Linked DNA regions of Lonchura striata. The protein of the gene in region 3 interacts with the protein of the main gene of each other region in a biochemical or structural test. Links are inferred from orthologs where the notes say so. Each region holds a gene or a part of one and is shown on either strand. Other genes may lie near its edges.

What was found. The genes of interacting proteins can lie anywhere in the genome.
Region 1: of the proteins of CASP7 (region 3) and PANX1, one has a biochemical effect on the other in vitro, tested with the Homo sapiens proteins (2 studies listed by IntAct). The link is inferred for Lonchura striata from reciprocal best matches to the Homo sapiens genes CASP7 and PANX1.
Region 2: of the proteins of CASP7 (region 3) and PTGES3, one has a biochemical effect on the other in vitro, tested with the Homo sapiens proteins (2 studies listed by BioGRID and IntAct). The link is inferred for Lonchura striata from reciprocal best matches to the Homo sapiens genes CASP7 and PTGES3.

The regions. Positions count from the first base shown.
Region 1 is NC_134604.1:39,428,548-39,435,724, reverse strand, and holds the start of PANX1 (pannexin-1), read right to left. Parts: upstream 3,010-7,177; 5' UTR 2,973-3,009; coding exon 2,792-2,972; intron 1-2,791. Other genes in the region: ferroxidase HEPHL1, read right to left, coding at 7,151-7,177. UniProt on the Homo sapiens protein: Ion channel involved in a variety of physiological functions such as blood pressure regulation, apoptotic cell clearance and oogenesis.
Region 2 is NC_134629.1:5,675,243-5,683,176, forward strand, and holds the start of PTGES3 (prostaglandin E synthase 3), read right to left. Parts: upstream 3,010-7,934; 5' UTR 1,945-3,009; coding exon 1,802-1,944; intron 1,708-1,801; coding exon 1,638-1,707; intron 1,176-1,637; coding exon 1,077-1,175; intron 879-1,076; coding exon 789-878; intron 603-788; coding exon 540-602; intron 114-539; coding exon 89-113; intron 1-88. UniProt on the Homo sapiens protein: Cytosolic prostaglandin synthase that catalyzes the oxidoreduction of prostaglandin endoperoxide H2 (PGH2) to prostaglandin E2 (PGE2).
Region 3 is NC_134609.1:24,509,433-24,516,715, reverse strand, and holds the start of CASP7 (caspase-7), read right to left. Parts: upstream 3,045-7,283; 5' UTR 3,017-3,044; intron 1,853-3,016; coding exon 1,740-1,852; intron 1-1,739. UniProt on the Homo sapiens protein: Thiol protease involved in different programmed cell death processes, such as apoptosis, pyroptosis or granzyme-mediated programmed cell death, by proteolytically cleaving target proteins.

The DNA.
Region 1 (7,177 bases), on a different chromosome or scaffold from region 3:
CTCACAATGCTATTGTTATTTACATTTTCCCATTCCCAGTATATATAAAATTGCATAAAACTATGTAAAATTGTATAAAACAAGGTCTAGTGCAAAGAGGTAACAGGTGCAGGATTTCAAATAGCAAATATTCCCAGGGATAGCAGACAACAGCTCAGCCACTGCTTAACTACTACCAGAACCAGCTTAAAATCCTCAGAAAATTACAACTGACTATGGATTTCTAAAATATAGCAAACAGTAAACTCAGATTAGTTCTCTTCCTGACCCTGAAGAATTTCAAAGCACGGTGCAGGCACTAACCCCAGGATTTCAGCACTGCTCACTGGCTGGGTGTTACAGCTGGGTTTTCCTTGCCTCCAGCAGAGAAATCCTCTGTCATTCAACTGGAATCTCATTTATTTCCTGAAACTCCCATCAAAACTAAAAGTTACTTGGTGGCTTCAGAAAACTTCCATAGCCTTTGCATACATTTTAATAATTTTGCACAATTAAGAGCAACCGCGTGTAGGAGGAAAATTGCAGGTGTCTTGACACCACACTGCAATGGAACAGGAAAGCAGAGCAGGAAGGGAAGGGGACAGGATGAGGTGCCAAGAGAACCTGAGGTGGGAGGAATGCAATTATCCCAACAGAAATAGAAGCTGAGCATTCGTTTTTGGAAAGGGTGTTCAGTTTTTGTACTCTGAGGCAGGTATTTCCACCAAACATTTTCACATCCACCTCTGAGTTGCTATTTTTCAGATGTAAAAATGAACCCTGACATTTTCGCTCAGTCTAGTGCTGCTGGGCTTTTTCAGAGCATGATTATATCACAAAGTGTTTGAAAACAAACTTTGCTGTCTATTTCATCACCGGCTGAACACCACAGCACAGACAACCAGGCATTTCCAGCCCCTAAAATCCTCAGTGTTCCTCCAAATGCTTTAATGGGAGCAGTTTTGGGCTGTCCTATAAGCAGCCAGCCTGTTTTGCTGCAAGGACTGTGTGGGAAATAGGTGACAGCTGTCACAGCAGCATGGCTGATTTACTATCACTTTCTGTATGGACAACACGTGGTGCAGTTTCACCCATGTCCGGAAATAACAATAAAAAGTACTTCCCAAATTTATTTGCATATTTATTTTTTCAACTAAAAAAGCCCAGTTTTCAACCCAATATTTTCTTCTAACAGGTTCTCAGGATTATAACCAAAAAAAAACACTAGCGATGCAGCCCACATTTCCATTCTTCCTTTATTAATCTACTGCACTCACAGATTCAATTTGAAATAGTTTTAATATTGAAATAATTGAAAGACAAAAACTTAACTCATCTGAAAGAAAGGCACACTTTTCCAAACTCTGCAGTTCAACTGTGTGTTTAATCTTTGTGTAAGGGAGTAAAATGAAAAAAAATAAAAGAAACATTAGTACCCAGCCTTCAACTGGGTACTGTTCAAGTGTTTCAAACTGGATCCAGCACTTCTAGAGTAGACGTAGAAAGAATTAAGGGGCGCATATACAAGCTACTGTATGGAAATACACCTCTTTTTCATTCCTTTAAGAATAAGCAATGTGCATCTATTAGTAGCAGGTCTTAAACTAGAAGAAGAACAGTAGAGTGCCAAAAGATGGATGTTCATCCAGTTTCTGGGTGAATAGAGCTGCCACGGGGTTCAGATCTGGTCTCAGCATTCCCAGTCTGGTTGTCCTTCACTTCCCTACGCAGTTATTGCGGCCCACAGCAATCAGGTGCAACAGGGGTGTAGCTGCTTATAAATACAGCAATCTGGGGCATCTTATCTCTCAAGCAATTTGGTATCTGACTAATGCTACTCATGATGGCTTTGCAAAGATTCACCACTCATCCAAAGTCTCATTCCAGTTTCCACTCTCCTGACATTCACTTGACCCAAACCTGTATATGATGGAGATCAGGTATATAACACTGAATGCCAATAAACAGGTACATGCAGCAAATCAAACTATCTCTCTGAAAGTCTGGAAATCCTGTGATTCAGTCTCCAAATGCACAGCATTACATATATACCTTTGAAATCTTCATTCATATTAGCAAATCATACAAAGGCTTGGGTTGGAGCAGACCTTAAAGATCATTTAGCTCCACTCCTCGCACCAAGGGCTGCTGCGTAATCACTTTTGTAACTTGGGGAGGTGGGTAAATAAAAATATAGTGAAATCATTGGAGAACCTGGCCTTTTACCTTGTAAAGCATAGTTTCGTTTACCGAGCCACGGCAGAAATTGAAAACTGAACTGGAAGAGCTGCAGGAGGGGAGAGGAGCAGCGGAAAGCTTTAGAGAGCTCTCACTGTCCATCCTGCGGGTGACCACCCCACCGAGCCGCCTGCAGCGCAAGGCAGAGCTCTGCCAGCCCTCCTCCGCGGCACCTGTCCCCGACAGCTGAGCGACACCCAGATCCTAACGCCGAACATCCCGAGCGCCAGGAGCGGCGGCACACGGGCACTCCCCGGGGCACATCCCGGCTGGCTGCTGCGGTCCGAACCGCGCTGGGAAACAAAGGGCGGCACGGCTTCAGCGCTCCATCGCTCCCACGGGAGAAGCAAGATACGGCGGCGGCCAGGGAATGCCCCGGCGAGGAGCAGGGCACGGGAAAGCGCGGGGAGGGCCGGCCGGGAAGCCCAGCACACCTGGATGAGCCTGCCGGCAGGGATGCTTTCCGGGAAAGGCCCGTCCGCCCTGCCCCGGGCGGGAGCCCCCGGCAGCCGAGCCCCGGCGCTCCCGCCCGGCCCCGCCGCCCAACGGGCCCTTTGTCCGCCGCGGGAGTTACCGATGGAGACCTCCTGGGCGAAGGCGAGGGAGATGAGGAGCAGCGGCAGCCCCACGGCGATGCAGGTGACGATCTTGTCGAGCGCCAGCTCCAGCCGCAGCCCCTTGTAGCGCGTCTCCGGCGGCTCCTTCAGCAGGAAGTCGGAGAAGACGTACTCGGTGGCAATGTGCGCGATGGCCATGGCTGGGCCGGGCTGTGCTGGGTTAGGCTGGGCTGGGTCAGGCTGGCCGGGCCCCGCCCGGCGCGGCTCGGCTCGGGAACGCCCCGCAGCCCGGCCCGGCCCCGCCCGGCCAGGGGCGGGGGGCGCGGAGCGGCGTCCCGCGGCTCGGGAGAGGGGCTGAGCCAGCGCCAGGCGCCGGGGGTCGCCGAGTGGCTTGGCTTGGAAGGGACTTTAAAGATCCTGTGGGCAGGAACGCCTTCTGCTAGACCAGATTCAGCCTGACCCAGAACACCGCCAGGGATGGGGCATCCACGCATCCACAGCTTCTCGGCAACCCATGCCGCTTGTGCTGCCGTCCTCACAATAAAGAATTTCTTCATAAAATCTATTCTAAACGCACGCTCGTTCACTTTAAAGCCATTCCCCTTTCTCCTATCACTGTGTATCCTTGTAAAGTGTCATTCTCCCTCTTTGTTATAAGCCCCCTTAGGTACTGGCATGCCACAGTGAGGTCTGTTTAGAGCCTTGTCTTCTCTGGGCTGAACAGGCACAGCTCAGTCTGTCTTCTAGGAGAGCTGCTCCAGCCCCTGCACGGACCATCTTTGTGGCTTGCTCTGGATGTGCTGTAGCATGTCCATGTCACTCTTGTGCTGGAGGCCCCAGAGCTGGACACAGTGCTCCAGGGGGGATGTCAACAGAGCAAAATAGAGGGGCAGAATCACTTTGCTTGTCCTGCTGGCCACGCTCTTTCTGATCAGGTTAGCTTTCTGCACTCTAAGCACAGTTTGTTCATGTCCAGCTTTTCATCCACAAGAGCCCCAGTGAGGGGGACTCTCCATGGGCTCTCCCAGTCTCTACTCATGTTTGCGGCTGCTTCAACACAGGTACAGTGTTTGAATGGAGATTTCTTGTGTCAATTTTGTGCCCATCAGCTCAGGTCATCTCAGCAGGCACTGCCAAGAACAACCCGACTCTGTCCATGCTACTCGTCCATCAGCTGTTTGCACACACTGTGGGGAGCCCCTGAGGCACTTTCTCCAGGCTGATGAGCCCCAGCTGTCTCAGCACTCCTATCCCCACCACAGTCTGACAGATGCTCCAAACCCCTGACCTACCTAGCACCATGTACTGTGGCATTTTCCCCACACAAAATGTTTGATCGCTGCTTTTCAGGTCAGTTTTTTGAGAGAGTCACTGGGGTGCCTTCACCTTTAATAGCCCTTAATTTTTTTGCCCTTCTGTATTTTTCCTGTTGGTTTCTGGACCTCTGTGAGCTTGGAGTATCCTCAGCCCAGGAGTCACAGAGGAAGTCCACCCCATGAGGAGCCACTTCCTGTGCTGTGCTGTCATGTATGTAACACTCCCACAGCTCATTTCTTTCTTCAAAAGGGACAAACTATTCCCTCCTCCACTCAAATTCTCCTTTATAAAACTGCTATCCTACCTGCTTTCAACTGTCCTTCCTATTTTTTCCCAGCCGTAAGCTGAGGAAATCATTCCTCATATGGAAACTGTTCTACAATACTGATTCCCTTTCTTGTTCTTTTGTGCTGTTCTTGTGCTGCTTGGCTAGATGAGGTCAGGAGATTTGATCCATGCTGTATACAAGATGCAAGTGCCCCATACATTTATGTAATGGGACTAAGTGGTGTTCTGTTTTGCTCTATTCTTAATTTGCACCGATTCCTAATATTTTATTGCCTTTCTGCCCACTGAACAACACTGGAGCTAATGTTGTCATTAAAGTATTATAAATAATATCCCATTTCAGAGATGCTTAGACAGCATTATACATATAAGGTTAGGATTGCTTTTTTACACATGTAGTACTGTAAATGTATCAATACTAAATTTTGTCTTTTGTCACTGATTTTTCATGCTGCTTAAGATTGTCACTCAACTTGTCCACTCTTTTTCACAACACTTAGATAAAATAGTGAAAAGCAAGGACAAGCATGTCCTCCAAGTCATGTAGCACCCCATGAGTGACTATCAACATGAAATCTGACAACTTTTCACTGTCTTTAAACCAGGTATTTAACCTCCCTGAACTCCTTCTCCCATGGTGATTTCATTTCCTTAAGAAGCTTTAACTGAAGACCTTCTCAAAGATCTTATGAAAATATAAGCAGGTTATATTCATCCATATTTCTTACCTACGCACTGAGTCCTTCAGAAACCTTCCTAAGGTACACTTTTCTTGTGGGAAAAAGAAATAACAGTATAAATTCTTCCATGTTCTTTTCTGTTTGGACACTTTCCTGGTTTTGTTTTTAGAACAGTTTCAACAGTTTCACTCATGTTGTGTGGCCGACATAGCTGTTTAGTTATCTGGAAAGTTTTTAAAGATTAACCTTGTATTTGTCACCTTTCAAGCTTTTGGATTTAGGACAGTTCCCAACTGCTACCTCAGTTTATAATCCAGATTTTTCATACCTGAGGGCCTTTAGCACTCAGTGGAGAACATCCCTGCCTCAGTGACTTGATCTGTTAATTTTGTTGCTTAACTCTGTTCCTGCCAGTGCTTCAGCCCAACACAGATGCTGTCTGTCAACACAGGTGTCAAGGCACAGGCAGGCAGTGGTAAACTTGCTGCTTTTTGTGACGTTTCGTGATCCCTGAGGAGCGGGACAGAGGAAATGAACTGTGCCAGAAGATTCATACAAATAGCTGGGGTTTTTTATTATTAATATAATCACTTTGGTAAACTAGTTTCTACAGTCAAAACATACTTATGACTCTGATTTGAAAACATCAGCTACCTAGAAGTGAAGTACTAAATAATTTCCTTTCTTAATAGTGCATTTTGAGTGAAAGACTTTAATTTTATATGTACACAGAGAGCTAAAATTCTGCACAGACACTATTTTTGCACAGAACAGGAGACCCCAATTTTAAAGTTTAAGGGACAGAAGATGAAAGTGTTTAGAGAATCTGTTTTTGCCAACTCGAATTGGAGATTTTGAGAAGGAAATTTTGTTTGTTGATATGATGTAAATTCTATAAGGGCTTAGTCCTGCATTTGTGGTTTATGTGTGTGCTTTCAAATGACTGAGGAAAACAAAGAAATTACTGAGAAATATCCAAGAACCTTCAACATATTGTTTGGCTGGACATCACTGCAGGACACATTTAAGCCACAGTAAGTGTTGCACAGTAAAATTTTCTACTTTTGAGCATACTTTAAAGTACAGAAGTGGAAAAAAAAAAATTATAAACCAAAACAGCAACTTGAATTTACATTCAAATGCAGATTTGTGTAAACAGTTTTACAAAGGTGTTTGTTCTGGAATTCCTCTGCTAGAGTTATAGCAGGCATGAGCAGGCAAGAACGAACACAACCTAACAAAAAAAATTAGCTATAAACATTCAAGTATCACTATACATGTCCTGATTCTGTCTGTCTGCCTCACAGAGCACAAAGATCATCCTCCTGATGGCTTCATTACAGGTAGGGAGAGAGGTGTTGCTCAGTGCAAAGAAGAGGTACAGAATCAGGACCGTAACAAGCAGCATTTACAAAGTCAATTAATCTCTTGGAAGTTGTTCAGAGCTAGATTTTTAGAGAAAAATAAAAGCTGTTAGAAACTAACAGCAGGGGCTCTGCTGAACTCATTGGGTGCTAAAATTTATTTGTAGGTCTTCAGAAATCTGTTCCCAGTGTAAAGTTTCCTCATTTAACAGGGAAAAAAAAGAGACAATAACTTGAATGGTGGTGAATTCATTGAGCCAGACTTTGGGAAACTGCAGGGACTTGGAGATTGGCACCTGCTTCTTCAGAAGCTGACAACTTAAGCCAGTTCCTGGTGGTGTTTATTTCCTAGGGTGAACCCCATGTTTCTGCACATGGATGCCGTTCTGCCTGCTCTGTACTCCTATGAAACCCCAGTGAATGCCAAGAGGTGTGCTGCTCTGCTCAGCTGCCAGATTGGATCTTGGACAGAGCTCATCTGAGCCCAGGGGAGTGGAAATGGTGATGGGTGGTACCTGGCTCTCAGAGCTGAGCCCTACAGCTCATGTTCACTCTTGTGACCACTGGCCATGTGGTAGGGCTGTCAGCATATGCCCTGCTCCAGTTTGATTAGCAGCATGGTGGCTGGCAGTATTAAATTAATGGTCAGAATCAATATCTTGGAGGTTTTATGGTTCTATGTTATGAAATCCAGTGAGTCCCTGTGAACAATATTAAAAGTGGGGATTTACAGGGAATCTGCCAGAAGTGCACT
Region 2 (7,934 bases), on a different chromosome or scaffold from region 3:
CAGGATGAACATCTGCTGGCCCTGCCCGAGGGCGGCTCGGAGCCTTCAGCAGGTGTGTGAGGGGAAAACAACAAAGACAACAACTTACTTTCATCATCACTGTCTGGTGAGTCCTGCAAAGGAGAACAAACAACCTTTAAGTGGAGCAGACCCACCCTCTCCCCTGCCAGCAGAGAGCTGCTGTTCCCAAATCTGGATTTTGAGGAATTCCAAGCTCCAGATGACACAGGGAGCTCAGTTTGGCCTCACTGCAGACCCACAGTGACCCCCAATCCCTGCAGAGAGACAGACACCCCAAACTGGTGTCCCCAGCACCTTTAGACCCACAGTGACCCCCAATCCCTGCAGAGAGACAGACACCCCAAACTGGTGTCCCCAGCACCCTCAGCACTGCTGAGAGGGGAGGGAAAGGGCCTCCCCAGGTGACATCACCTGTGCAAACAAGGTTTGGGGCTATTTAAGCCTTTTTTTGGTGCTGAGGGGTGAGTGCAGGACTTCTGAGCCAGCCCTGCAGGTGTTCACTGCACCCACATACTCACATCATCTGCCCCATCTACTTCTGGCAAGTCTACGTCGTCGTCTCCTCCCATGTTGTTCATCATCTGCTCAGAGACAGAACAGCCACGCTTTGGAGTGAATCCAACCCAAAACAACCCAAAACCAACAGCCCTCCCCTTGCTGTAACAGATCAGTTGCCCCCATGCAGGAATTACAAAGTGATGGTGCACAAAAAGCTAGGATTCATTGCCTGGCAACTCCCAAAACTCCAGGAATTTGTAGTTCCCTACCTCAGAAAAGCGATCAAAATTGGACATGTCTTCATCTGAATCATCTTCCCAGTCTTTCCAGTTGTTGAAGTCCACGCTGAGCCAGTTGAGCTGCAGCAAGACCCAAGAGTTATTTAAGGACAAGGAATTATTTAAGGACAAGGAAGTGGTTGTCACTTAGAACAGGTTAACAAGAGCTGCCGTGGGATCAGGAGCAGGAAAGTGACCCAAAACTGCTCCAGAGTTTGAACATGACCCAAATATTCACTAAATTGAAAGCCAGGGGAGGCAGCAGATGCCCAGACTCACCTTTGCCCTCTCTTTTGTTAACCTTGGCCATGCCTGACCAGACTCTCCTTTTCGTAAACAACACAAGATGGATCTGTCTGTTCTTTTATGCTTTGATTCCTGAAAAAGAGCAAATATCCATTAGCACCATCAGGATGACCTTCACCAGGAACTGCTGACATCCTTCCTTTATCTTCACCTCTTCCCTTATTCCTTGTCCTGAAAAATACCCCCCCAGAGAATCTTTCCTGGATCTGACTTTGAGCTTTTATGTTCTAAGGAATAATTCCCCTTAGAAAATATTCCATATTCCTATTTTAAAGGAATAAAATCTTGGGAGCAGCCTAAAGAACAGATGGTATTTTTTAGGATCCAAGAACCAAGGGATGGTTTGGGTTGGAAAAGACTTTAAAAGCCAAGTTCCAAAGCCATGCCATGGGCAGGGACACCTTCCACCAGCCCAGGTTGCTCCAACATGGCTTTGAACACTTCCAGGGATGGAATATCTGCAATTTCTCTGGACAAGCTGTGCCAGCCCCTCACCAGCATCAAGAACTCAGGAAGAGTCAGGAGGATACTCACATTTGGATCGATATTATTAAAAAGATCGATTTCATTTAAATGTTTAAAATTATCACTTCCTCCAAGACAACTGCAAGAGAAAAAGAAATCAGTATTTAGCCCAAAAAACATCTCATAGAACAAATCTGCTTCTCCTTAGCGCTCCCTGTGCCGGAATTACTCACCTGAACGTGAGTTTGGACTTTTCAAAATTTACATTTACGTCTTTGCTGTCTTCGACACAGAACTCGATAAAGACGTAGTCCCTCCGGTCGTACCACTTTGCAGAGGCAGGCTGCCTGTGGGCACAGCAGGGACACAGGGGCATTGATTTTCATCAAGAAATCCAAGGGGAAAAAAAAAGCTTTTTGCACTTAAAACCTTCATTTCGAGCTTACTGTTATTTTTTAAAGTTGCTTTAAACTGAAAAGAGAGGGCTGGAATCAAAAGAAATTATGTATTTGGTGCATTTGGAGTGTGACGCCCCCAGAAAGCTCCTGGGAGGAGCCACTGAAATCTGAGACTGAAATCAACATTTCAGCAGATCAAAATTATGATAAACTTCAAGATGAGATACTACAGATTATGGCAGCAGCTCCACCACCTCCAACAGCTGCACAGGCAGACTTCAGAGTGGTTTTCGTCACGCAAAGAGTTAAAACCTAAAGTAAAACTACCAGAAAAAAAACCAAACCCTTTTTGGGGTATTGATACTATAAAAAAATGGATCTGCTATGATTAAGACCCAATTAAGCCAGCACAGGCTGGAGAATCACTGCTCCAAGCTTTTACAAGTGCTCACACCAGGACTGCCACACACTTTGGAATTCCTCTGCCTTTGCACCTCAAAAAGCAAGAGCATGTCCAGGGGAGCTGGGAAAGGCACAGAGCTCCAGAGCAACTCCTGTGTTTGCAGTCCCACCCTGAGAACTCACCTGCACTGCTCGGTGGAGCGGGGAAAGGAGCTGGCAGGGCTCAGACACCTCCTCCCCCTCCCAGGCCCAGCCCAGGGAACGGCTGCATTCCAGAAGCAAAGGCCTCCCAGCAGGGCTGCTGCAGAGGCACAGAGCCCAAGGGTGTTCCTCAACTCCTTTGTCTTCCTGAGATCGGTGGAAGGGTTGGGAGGGACCTCAAAGTTCAGCCAGTGCCACCCCCTGCCCTGGCAGGGACGCCTTTCACCAGCCCAGGTTGTCCAGCCTGGCCTTGGACACTTCCAGGGATGGGGAATCCATTCCAGGGTATCCCCAGATTCACAGGGAGGTATTTCATCCCAATATCCCATCTTAATCTGCTTTTTAACCTTATCTCCCCCTTTATCTGCCATTCCTGTGCCTCACCAGCCTCACAGGGAGGAATTTTTCCCAGCTGTGGGATGAGGTGGAAGGCTCTGAGCTGGACAAGGATTTAAACAGGGAAGCTGATGTGACATGGCCTGTGACAGTAGCTGAGGCCCTCTGTGCTGCTCTCTCTAAACCAATATCTGACCAAAAAACAACTTTTCAGACCATTTATTAAGGTAACCTTTGCTAAACTTCCAGATGAAGATTTCGACTCGCCTCATCAGCCATTATTTGCTGGCACTGAGCTGTGGCACATTTAGCAAAGGGACTCAACCAAAGGCTCCTGCTGCTCCCATCCACATTTCCTAGGGATGAACCCAACCATGGCCCAGCCCAGCTCCAGCTGGACCCCAAACCAGCCACCTCTGAGCTCCCCCAGTGCCACAGGTCCTGGGCAAACTGGTGCCACTCAGGGAAAGGCAGCAGGATGGCCACAATGCCTTGGGCAGCCCAAACACCTCTTGTAGGTGCCACAACACCTGGGCAGAGACCAATGTCCAAGGATTTCATTTCCAAGAGCATAAAAAAAAGTGGATTCTGAATTCAGCCCTGAGTTTCAGCTGCTCCAGGGGTGAAAACCCGCTGCTTTCCCTCATAGCAGCATTTCACGGAATGTTAATTATCACCTTATTCAGGTGAAGTGCAGCAGCAGAGCAGCAATTTTTTTACTGTGGTATTTTTAAACTCTTCTTGGACACAGATTTCCTCTTTTAAGGGGGAATGAAAGACTCCCAAGAGGAAAGGAGGATGAGAAATGCCCTGCTCTGCTCCCTCTGTGCCAGGAGACAAAACCCCCCAGCGTGGGGCACTCGGAACGTGGCTCCAGCCCCGTTATTAACAGAAATCTCAGTGTCCCTGCCCGGGTGACGCAGGGGCTGAATGGTGTTAACACTTCCCAGCTCTCAATGTCAATGGAGACATCTCCAGCCTTCCCAGGGAGGCTCGGCCGGGATCGGGGGTTTGAGGCAGCACCAGGACTCGGAGCGCTCCCAGAACCCGCCCTGGGCTCAAGGCTCCACACACACACACACACACACACACACACACACACACACACACACACACACACTCACACACACACACGTGTGAGCTGGACAGAAGCGAAATCCCAGCTAAGTCTGACTCGGCCACAATTCGCATTTCTGGATCTGTATCTGTGCTGCTTTCCTGGGAATTCACCCCGGGAGCGCTCGGAACGCGTGACCTCGTGTTGTGGTTTGACATGGAGAAAGAATTTTTTTTCGGAAAGAAGAGGTTAATTTAGATATTGAGTAATTGAAGGTGGACATGTTTTTGAGAATATAGAGGGGTTAAAAGTAGAATTTCTTTAAAACTCTATAACACAAAAAAACCTCTATTCCCTCAATAAACTAAGTATCAATTCTCTAAAAATTAAAAACCTAATTAAAATCCAAATGATATCTCAGTATAACTTATAAAAATTAAATAATAAAAAAAATTTTACAAAGTTTTCATTTTAATCTATATATTTTTTCCCTTTCCTTTCTTTTATAATAATAACTTAATATTTTTTCCCTTATTATTAAACTTAAGCCTGCTTTACTCTATTCTCAATTCCATTTCACAACATTCAATTAAAAAATTACATTTTCATAAAAACACTAACATGGTACCAATATCAAACCATAACACCTCGGCAGCTCGGCTGGGATCGGGGGTTTGAGGCAGCACCAGGACTCAGAGCGCTTCCAGAAACCCCACAGGGCTCACACGCCCGAGCTGCAGAGCAGCGAGACCCCAGATGAGTTTGACTTGGCCAGAATTCACATTTCTGAATCTAAATACACTCTGCTTTCCCGGGAATTCACCCCGGGAGCGCTCGGAACCCGTGACCTCCCAGAAATCCCACTCAGCTCAAGGCTACACACACATGTCCCAGTGCAGAGAGATCCCAGATAAGTCTGACTCTGCCATAATTCTGATTTCTGAAAATCCTAATTTTCATAATTCCAGGTTTCTGAGCCTAAACCTGTGCTGCTTTCCTGGGAATTCACCCTGAGAGCACTCAGAACCCATGACCTCCCAGAAATCCCACTCAGCTCAAGGCTACACACACATGTCCCAGCAGCAGAGAGCAGTGAGATCCCAGATAAGTCTGACTCTGCCATAATTCTGATTTCTGGAAATCCTAGTTTTCATAATTCCAGGTTTCTGAGCCTAAACCTGTGCTGCTTTCCTAGGAATTCACCCTGAGAGAGCTCAGAGCCCGTGACCTCCCAGAAATCTGTCTGACTCTGCCATAATTCTAGTTCCATGTTTCTGGAAATCCTAATTTTCATAATTCCAGGTTTCTGAGCCTAAACCTGCACTGCTTTCCTGGGAATTCACCCCCAGAGTGCTCGGAACGTGCTGGAGCTGCCTCTCCTCCTTTTATCTGCTTTTCCAATCTCATCCTCCCAAAGGCAGGAGGGAAACCTCCCAGTCAGCTCCAGTCAGGACTCACCAGTTCCAACCAGTACTGCAGGACCTGCCGGGGAGCTGGGATGAGGCGGAAGCCGCAGCTCCTCTCTGTCTCCTGCCCACACGGAGATTCCCAGGAGACAACCCCAAACAGCAGCAGCCCGTGGGGAGCCCTGCACGTGCTCCCAGAGCTCCCACACACCCGTGGAAAATCTCCTCTCACAGGCACTGCCCCACCGCCTGTCGGAGCTCCATCCTGCTCACCCCAACTCCGAGGGAGCTCAGCCTCCTGCCAAGGGTGTTTTGGTTATCCAGCACCCCCCCTCCAGCATGGGATTTGGAAAACAGAAAGGGATTTAAAGGTTTAAAAGGGAATTTAGAACCCTTTTAAATTCCTGGGTGGTTCCCAGCGCTCTGTTCCGGTGAGGATTTCCTCTGTCCCATCCACCTGTGCTCTGGGAACTTCCTGAGCAGCCACTGCAGCTCTTCCAATCCCCACATTCCAATCGTTATTCCAGCACTGTGGAACAAGTTCTAGAAGCTTCCCAGCAGCACTGATGGGCAACGTGGAGGCTCAGCTTGACCACAGAGCCCTCAAGGCTCTTCCTGATCCAGGGAGCTCTGCTGGATATCCCTGGATTTCTCCTGGTCTCTGGCACGCTGAACTCACCAGGGGAATCTCAAATCTCTCCATCTGTGGCATCGAGGAAGTTTCCAAACCTGTTCTTGTGTTTTCTGCCTGTATCCCGAGCCTATGGAATCCCAGCTTTGTCTCCTGGAAGTATCCTGACAGCTCCCACAGCTCGAGGACACTGCAGGAATCAGGCCCTCAACAAGATTTCCTCCTCCCAGACAGCAATAAAACCTGTTTTACAAAATGACTTTTCCTTTCATTTTTACACCCTGGAAAGGCGCCTTTTTTTTTTTTTCCTCCCCATTTTAAGAAAGCCTCATTTTAGATTTTAGACAATTCTATGCAGATGCAGCAGCGCTGCAGTTTCAGGATGCTGAAATCTACAGAAATTACACGAGAAAACTCCAACGTGATCACACTTCTCTCACTTTCACTCACGTTAAGATGAAGCATCTCCACTGTTCAGGGCTTCAGAAGAAAAGTAAAAGCCTGGCTGAGGATAAGGGCCCAAAAACCATCAGTCAACGCTGTCCCCAGCCCAAATTCCTGACAAAACAAAACCTCAGGAAGTGCTACTGCCTCCAATCCTCCCAGCCAGGCCCGTGGAGGTCACAGAATGGTTTGGGTTGGAAGGGGCCTTGAAGCTCATTCAGCCCCTCCTGCCATGTGCAGGGACACCTCCAGGGATGGGACATCCTCTGGAAAATCCATTCAAGTGTTGCACCACCCTCAGAGGGAGGAATTTTTTCCCCAATATCCCACCCAAAGCTGCTCCCTGGCAGTTGGGAACCCTCGTTCTGCCGCTGGAGACGTGGGAATGCTGCCGGCAGCTCCCAGGGCAGCTCAGCTCTTCTTTCCCAGCCCGTTTTCCACCCTGCACGTGGAAAACTCCGGCTCTTCTTGAGGAAACGCTCGCGTCCACCAGAGCTCTGCCACGAGCTGGCTTCGGGTGGCTGAAGGCAGGCGATTAATTAGGGTTAATTAGCTCCGGGGGAGCCGGGAGCGCGGGATTCCGCTCGGGATGCACGTGGGGGAGGAGATCCAGCGGCTCACCTGCACCGGGCACAGCAGCACCACGGCAGCCCCGGGGCTTTCCGTGAGCCTCCACCCCATCCTGAGGGGCCTTTTCGCTATTGCTCGGTTTTTTTATGGAATTCTGGAACGCTTTGGGCTGGAAGGGAGCTTAAATCCCACCTCGCTCCAGCGGACCGGGCTGCTCCGAGCCCGGTCCAGCCCGGCCTCGGACACTCCCAGGGACAGCGCCAAGCGCGGGGATGGATTTCCCGCAGAAAAACCCCAAGTTCGCCAACAGATCCGCTCGCCTGCGCGCTCTGGATTGTTCCACGCGTTACTTACCGGCAGCTTTCCGCGGTTTCGGCCGCCACCGTTCGGCGGGTGCCGGTGGCCGAGAAACGCGCAAACACCCCCGAACACCCCCCGCCACCCGCGCGGCGGCCCCATTCATCCCGCGCGGAGATTCATCGCGGGACACCGGGGCCGAGCCGGCAACCGGGGCCGGCGGCCGAGCCGGGGCGCTCCGCCCTCACGCGGTAACCGGAGCCGGGCCCAGCCGATAAGCGAGGCAAGCCCGCCGCAAGGTCAGCGGGCGGCGGGAGCCCGCGCTCGCTCGGCGGCGCCGGGGCGGCTCCCGCGGCCCGGTGGGGCCTGGCGGGGCCTGCCCCGCGCCGCTCCCATCCCCGGGCCCTCACATGGCGGATGGCGACGTCTCTCCGGCGGGGCGCTCCTGCGGGGCGTGTGTGCCGCGGGCTGTGCGGGCGGTGCGGCGGCGGTCGGGCGGTGCCGGGAGGGCTCCGGGAGGGCTCCGGGGGCTCCGGCGGCGGCTCCGGCGGCTCCGGGCGGGCTCGGGGCTCGGCGCGGCCTCGCTCCCACAATGCCCCGCGCGCGCTCGGCCCGTGGTGACGC
Region 3 (7,283 bases):
TCTTCTGAATTTACCTAAAATCTTGACATCTGCATATCCCCTGGCTGCAGTGACATTCTGCACTATGTTAAAATTGCAGCTTAACACTTGATTTAAACCTACTACACGAACTTTTCATTGGATGTCCCCTAGATTCCCTGCCAGGAACAAAGATCATTCTCTCTTAATTTTCTCCTTTATTACAATCATAGTTTAGATCAGATTCCATTTTCCTTTATCCTCTAATATTCTTCCCATATCTTCCTTCAGACCAAAGACTTTTAGTTTCTGTAGGACAAAGATAAATACCTTAACTGTCAAGCACCTCATTCCTCTTTAAAAAAATCACTACCTTCTTCAAGAAACTCTGTTATATTTCTCAAAAGTATTTTCTTCAAAATCTAAGTTGAATTCTCTCAATTACCTCATATTTAATCTGAGCAATTTTTTTACTTCTAAAGAAAAATGTTGTAAATTGCATCTTCAAGGAGTTCCCAAAAGATGAATGCCTCAAACTGATGAATAGCCAAATTATTTGAAATATTTCTTATAGAAAAAGTCATAGAAATGCTGATTATTGCCTTTTCTTTGGAAATTATTAACTTTGAGTTGCATAATTTAATAATAGTATTAGCATATCACCTCTTATAAAGAAGACTAAATCAAATATCAAAACACACAATTTATGAAGTTGAAAAGAAACATTTGAAAAAATATTTTACAAGATTTAGAAACAAATGTTACATTTGTCTACTTGTTAAAATTAATAATACACATACACATAATGAAACATGTTTGAGGAATGATAAAATGAGACAAAGTACAGTGATTTGCTTAACAGCACATCAAAAGTCTTCTAAGAGTAGAACATTTTCACTTCTCTCATGAATTACCCCTATTAAACTCATAGAATAAACAGCAAAAATAAAAGTATATTAACCATGTACTCTCTGAATTATAATGCTCACTTTAATGTAAACTTCCAATAGTAAAAAAACTCAAAACCTCTCTGTAAATGCATTAGACTTTGCATCAAATCTCTCCTGCAAAATCTCAATAAATCCAATGTCAAGTAGCCATTTGCTGATATTCAACAGCATTTATAAACCTTGCGTGTTCATTTTTCATTTTTTGCATTTCTAATCAAATTTTCCAGTATTTTCAGGAGTACAGACGAGCAGTAAATAGTTCTTGCTTCCCACTGATTTAATGAAAGTAAGCTTATGCTTCAGTGAGACTACAATGCTTTAAAATTAAAGGCTTTTAATGTGTTCTGTAAGGGGTTATATCTCTAGACTTGGGGAGGCTTCTTTGTGCTACAACCTAGATGGCACATCCAGGCTTTAAAGTAACTTAGACAGTCAGCAGGAGATTCCAATGATGCTGGAGATTAGCTGAGCTGAGTGCAGTAAAATAGATAATTAATGGCATATTCAATTCCCAGCTCCATCAAAGGTCAATGTTTAAGATGTGGGACTGTAATTGATGCTAAATGAACTTGGTGGTCTCTTAGCTGCCAAATAAAACTTATGGGAGACATTATAGGTTTCCCTTTAGGGGATATTACAAAGAAATGATTTAAGGTACAGACAAGATACATTAAATTCATACAACATAAACCACCTTTCTATCCAGACCATCAATAACATTGTGGACATGGCAAACTGAACACCAAATCAAGACTTTTTGTGTTTCTTTGATTAAAAGGGTACCATGGCAGCTGATACAACAACAAAAACAGGAGTACAATAGGAACTTACGTTCTAAAAAGTGAGAACCTGCTGCGTCTATCTGGCCTTGCATCAACTACATCATTGCCATCTTCATCACCTCCCTCTCCAGCAGAGACATCACCATGCTGATCCTCTGACATCTACAAATGAAAGTGCAAGAATGTAAGCGTCCCTCAGTGAGCACTGACATTTTAGAGATAATTCTATGAACCAGATTATTTATGGCCTGGTTTATAGAAGATACATGTGAGGGTTTTAGGCAGTTTTATTGTATAATGCTTTCTCAAGAAAGAGTGGCTATGGATTTCTGGTCCTGAATTTCTGTGGCATTGCACATGTTCAGCCATCTCTATTTTCTTGTGCCAGTTACCAAAAGGAACTTGTCTAACATCACTCCCAAAAATGCAGATTAAAGCAAAATCAAGAATAATTATATGGTGGAAGATCACAGAATCATAGAATACAATAATAACATAGAGTCGGAATATTCTGAGTTGTAAGGGCCCTCTGGGGTCATCAAAGTCCAACACCTGGCCTGCACACGGTAGTCCCAAGTACCCTGCCATGTGCCCAAGTGAGCTGTCCTCAGCACAGAAGTAATTCCCAGACAGTTTTCCATGGTCTAGAAAGAAGCATGTTGGGATGAAAGCAAGGGCCCCTGTGTTTTCATTTGCATATACAAAGAATCCTGCGTATTTCCTATGGTGGCTGTAATTCAGTCACTAAGCAGTCGGGAAAGCACAGCAGAACGATCTGCGCCAGCACCTTCACTCGGGGCCGGATGCACTGAAACATCTGGTCTCTGCTTCCGGATTTTCATCAGGAAATTAGCAGCGATTCCTGCCCCTTTCCCATAGTTTGGCCGATTAAATTTGCATTTATCACGCCTTCACCGAGAAGAGCACACGTTTCATAGAAAACCACCCCGGACACCGGGCCGCAGCAGCAGCAGCTCAGGGCCCAGCAGGCTGCAGCGGCCGGGCAGCGGGGGTGCCAGAGCTTTGGGAGCTCCCCGGGTGGAAGAGCAGCTCCCACAGCCGGGTCCAGCCTCGGCTTTGGCGAACACACACACGAACACACACACCAAGAGAACCTCGAACACACACACCAAGAGAACCTCGAACGCACACACACCAAGAGAACCGAGCGCGCAGGCCGCGGGCGGAGGGGCCGAGGAGCAGCGGGGGCGGCCAGGGCAGGGAGCGCAGCAAGGGATGCGCAGCCCGGGGGAAAGCGGGCAGGAGCCGGGCAGGAGCCGGGGCAGGCAGGGGAAGGGGAAGGGCTGGGAAAGGCCCGGGGCTTGCCTTGGTGCCGGGTCCGGCCGCTCGGGAACGAAAGTGAAACTTAAAGGAAAACTTAAAGAGAAAGAGGCAGGGCGGCGCCGGGGCGGGGCAAGCTCCCCTGGCGTGTGCCCGTCCCCATCCCTGACCCTTGTCCCCGTCCCCATCCCTGACCCTTGTCCCCATCCCCATCCCTAACCCTTGTCCCCGTCCCCATCCCTAACCCTTGTCCTCGTCCCCATCGCTGACCCTTGTCCTCGTCCCCATCCCTGACCCTTTTCCCCGTCCCCATTCCTAATCCTTGTCTCCGTCCCCATTCCTAATTCTTGTCCCCATCCCCATCCCTAACCCTTGTCCCCGTCCCCATCACTGACCCTTGTCCCTGTCCCCATTCCTGACCCTTGTCCCCATCCCCATTCCTAATTCTTGTCTCCATCCCCATCCCTAACCCTTGTCCCTGTCCCCATCCCTGATCCCATCCCCGTCCCCATCCCTGATCCCATCCCCGTCCGTCCCCCCGGCAGAGGGTCTTGGGCGCTGCTCGCTCCCCAGGTAATGACGGCCACATCACAGCGAAACCGAAATTAACCGCCTTTTAATAGCTGTGCTCCGGCACACCCCGCCAAAGAGGAGTGGAAAGTTTCATGGTGACACGAGGTTGTCTAGATCTAAGGAAATTTTCCCCCTTATATAAACTTCAGTGGCATTTCCTTATCCTCCCAATTATTTTGCGTGTTGCATCTCTGCTAATTACGGTATCCCACTGTGCAGCCCTAGCAGTCCAGTACATTGGACTGAAGATTGGCACAGTCCTGCTAATTACTCCTGGATGCAGGCTCCAATCCTGCAAAATCATATACCTACCCAGCGGTGCGTGGTGTTTAACATTCACTACCTGAAGAGATTTACATCAAAGAGACATTTTTCAGTGTAACTGCCTCCTAATTGGCACAAAACACAGGCATGGTAACAAACAGGCTTTTGCTCCCCGGCAGGTCAGTGCCTCCATGTGATGGAGGAGCTCTTGCCGTGTGTCTGCACGCTGCTGCTGAGACTGCTCCCTCCTTCCTGGGATTATGCCTGTGGCTCCTGGCTGCATGTGCAGCCAAAGTTTTCTCCTGAAAATCAAACTAACAGAATCCCATGGTTTCTCTCATGCCATCTGTTAGCTGCTGCTTTTCAAGAAAACAGCATCACTTCCAAATCCGTAATGGATCACCATGGACAGCGGGAGAGGAGAGGAGAGGAGAGGAGAGGAGAGGAGAGGAGAGGAGAGGAGAGGAGAGGAGAGGAGAGGAGAGGAGAGGAGAGGAGAGGAGAGGAGAGGAGAGGAGAGGAGAGGAGAGGAGAGGAGAGGAGAGGAGAGGAGAGGAGAGGAGAGGAGAGGAGAGGAGAGGAGAGGAGAGGAGAGGAGAGGAGAGGAGAGGAGAGGAGAGGAGAGGAGAGGAGAGGAGAGGAGAGGAGAGGAGAGGAGAGGAGAGGAGAGGAGAGGAGAGGAGAGGAGAGGAGAGGAGAGGAGAGGAGAGGAGAGGAGAGGAGAGGAGAGGAGAGGAGAGGAGAGGAGAGGAGAGGAGAGGAGAGGAGAGGAGAGGAGAGGAGCTCTAGAATTATGGAATTCTGTAGAATAATGCACCTCAGTCAGCTTGATGGATGTGTTTTGTCTCTGTAATCAGGCAGAGATGAGAACAATGCACATGCCATATTTTGTGAGTTTTAAACTTGAGGCTTATTTGTGTTATGATACGCAACAAATGGACATATTTGGACACTGGTGGTTATGTGGGCTATACTCTATGTGCTTTTCACACTTTTCTTCAAGCTTTTAGCTTAGATTGTAGCACATCCTAACCCATTCCTTTTCTGCTGTGTAACAGTGGTGTCTTCTTAGCCCCTTGGTTCTTTTTTTGATTTCTCTCTTATTTTATCTCACTCTGTTAGAACCATTTGCACAATCCCTACACTCTCAGTTTTTCCTGACACTGGCAACAAGGGAAAGTGCAAGCATAAACTCTTTAATCATGAAATATAAACAGTTGTTGGTTGGTTTCCAAAACAGCAAAAATGGAAAAAGCAACTGTATAAGTTTGGAAAGTTCCATAGAAGTTTTTATTCAAGTCTTGGGAGATTTTAGTGTTGATAAAGCTCTTCCAGTTTTCTTTCAATACTTTTCCAAGCTTGATTTGCTACCATGCTAGCATGGAGAGACTGTGTGAGGCAAAAGGCCCTGAGCCCAGGTAACTAACCAACCACAGCATTCAGAGAAGGTGAACGTAGACAAGGCTGGTTGAATGCTTGAAATTTTACAGGCAGCTTTTACACTACACTTTGTGTAGTGAACCAACACCTTTGGGTTTTTTTTTTGCAAACAGAGGGAAGATAGGATTGCCATAATTAGTGATGTCTGGCTTCCTGTTCTTCATGTGGTTGGAAGGGCACAGCTTCAATTCAGGAGTGACAGAGGAGGTGACCCTGACTTGAATGTCTCTTGAGAGGTTACTTTGTGTAACTAATATGTGCTTTTTTACAATCAGATTGAGGATGAAGACATGCTTCAAGTTTTCTGTGCAGTTAATTCAACGAATTTAAGGAGGCTGGAGAGGTAACAATGTTTCTTCCCACTAATTTGCACTTTCAAGGTACTGTCTCCTTGTACTTTATGTGTAACCACAGTCCTTTTAAACCACATTGATTAAGGTTCTACTGTTAAGTAAAGCCTTTTAAGATTTTCATTGATATCCAAAAGCCTTTATGAGGCCTTACTAAAGGAGGAAAAAAGCCACAATGAGCTTTTGACTGAAGAGAAAATGTCTTCCTAAGATTTGTCAAGATAACAAACTCACACTGGTTTTGTGATTTAATTCCTTGTATGATCAAAATGCAGCACGTACTTTGTAATGAGACCATTCAATGTTTATTTTTTAATAAACTCCCTTTTTGGTTAGCAACTTGGCTTTAATCCAGGGTGGTGAAGAACAAGAGAGTTTTTGGGTCCTCAGAAATGGGAAAGTCTTTAAGAGACTCCAGCAGAACTGGTGCACATTGGATGTGAGGGAAGTAGTGTGGCTGGGGAAGGCAGTAGCTGTAGAGGACATTGTGTCTTGCCACACTTCTCCTCTTGAACATCCTGTGGCTTGAGAGAAGCAGGAGAACTTGGAAAATGCATTTACCAGTCAAGCTGCTAGTGTCTGTCACTGTGAAAATAGAAAAACAGGCTTTGTAGACCTTGAAATAAAGTAGGATTTGTCTGTGAAGCAGAAAGATCTGTCTGAGAGGCCTCTTGGAAAGAGCACATGGTGTCATTCCCTTCAGGGACATCTCTGTGCTCTGTGGTACACAGTGCATATGGACAGCATGATGATCCGTGCTGGAGTCCTCTCCAGATGTTCAGGTCACTCCTGGATTAATTATTTGTTTTGTAATTGCCAAGTCTTTGTGATTTTGTGTGGTTCAGGGATGTCCTGTTTTCACCACCTCTCTGAACTCATTTCAGGAGGGTCTTAAGCAATGCAGAGACAGGAGCAGGTAATGCACCCCTTTCCTTGCTAAAGTGTGAGACAAGGGCTCCAGCATGGCTTCAGACAGCATGGAGACAACTGGGACTGCATAGAAAACACACAGTATGGTGACTCTTGGAGTAGATGAACACAAAGAGGTGACAACTGGTAGTGTGCCAAGTGCCAAGCAAGGAGGGGACAGCCCACTGTGACCCTAATACAGGTCACTTGCATAAACAGAATGGCAATCTGGGACAAGATGCAAAGCTGTGTGAGAAGGGAACTGGAAGCCTTCCAAATTGCTTTGGTTCACAGGTGTGAATGAGATAAATATTACCGTGATGTAACTTGGTCAACATAAACCTCTCTTGATCCCAAGAAGAATAACATAAGGTAACTCAGCAGTTATTTTAGTATAAGAAATTATGTTCTGTGGACATTTTAAAAGATGAAAATGCATCTGTTTATATACTGATATTAGTTACTTTGAAAGGCCTTAAGTGTTTTCAGGACTTTGTGCCACTGCTCTTTAGATTAGAGACTCTATTTTCAGCACACCAGTTGCTGACAGGACATTGTGCCAGTACATTGTCAGCATTCAGTAAAAGTAGCAATAATAAATTAAGGAGAACTGCATATCTCAATAGAGAGAGATGAATAGGAGTCTCCCCAAGCATACCCAGAAGGTTTAGACAGAAATTATTTTGATGGAATTGTTTGCAATTTACAGAAAAGGGAAGTGCTTTGCAATATTCCAGGACTGCTGCAGGCAGTGGGGCAGATGCATAGATGACTAA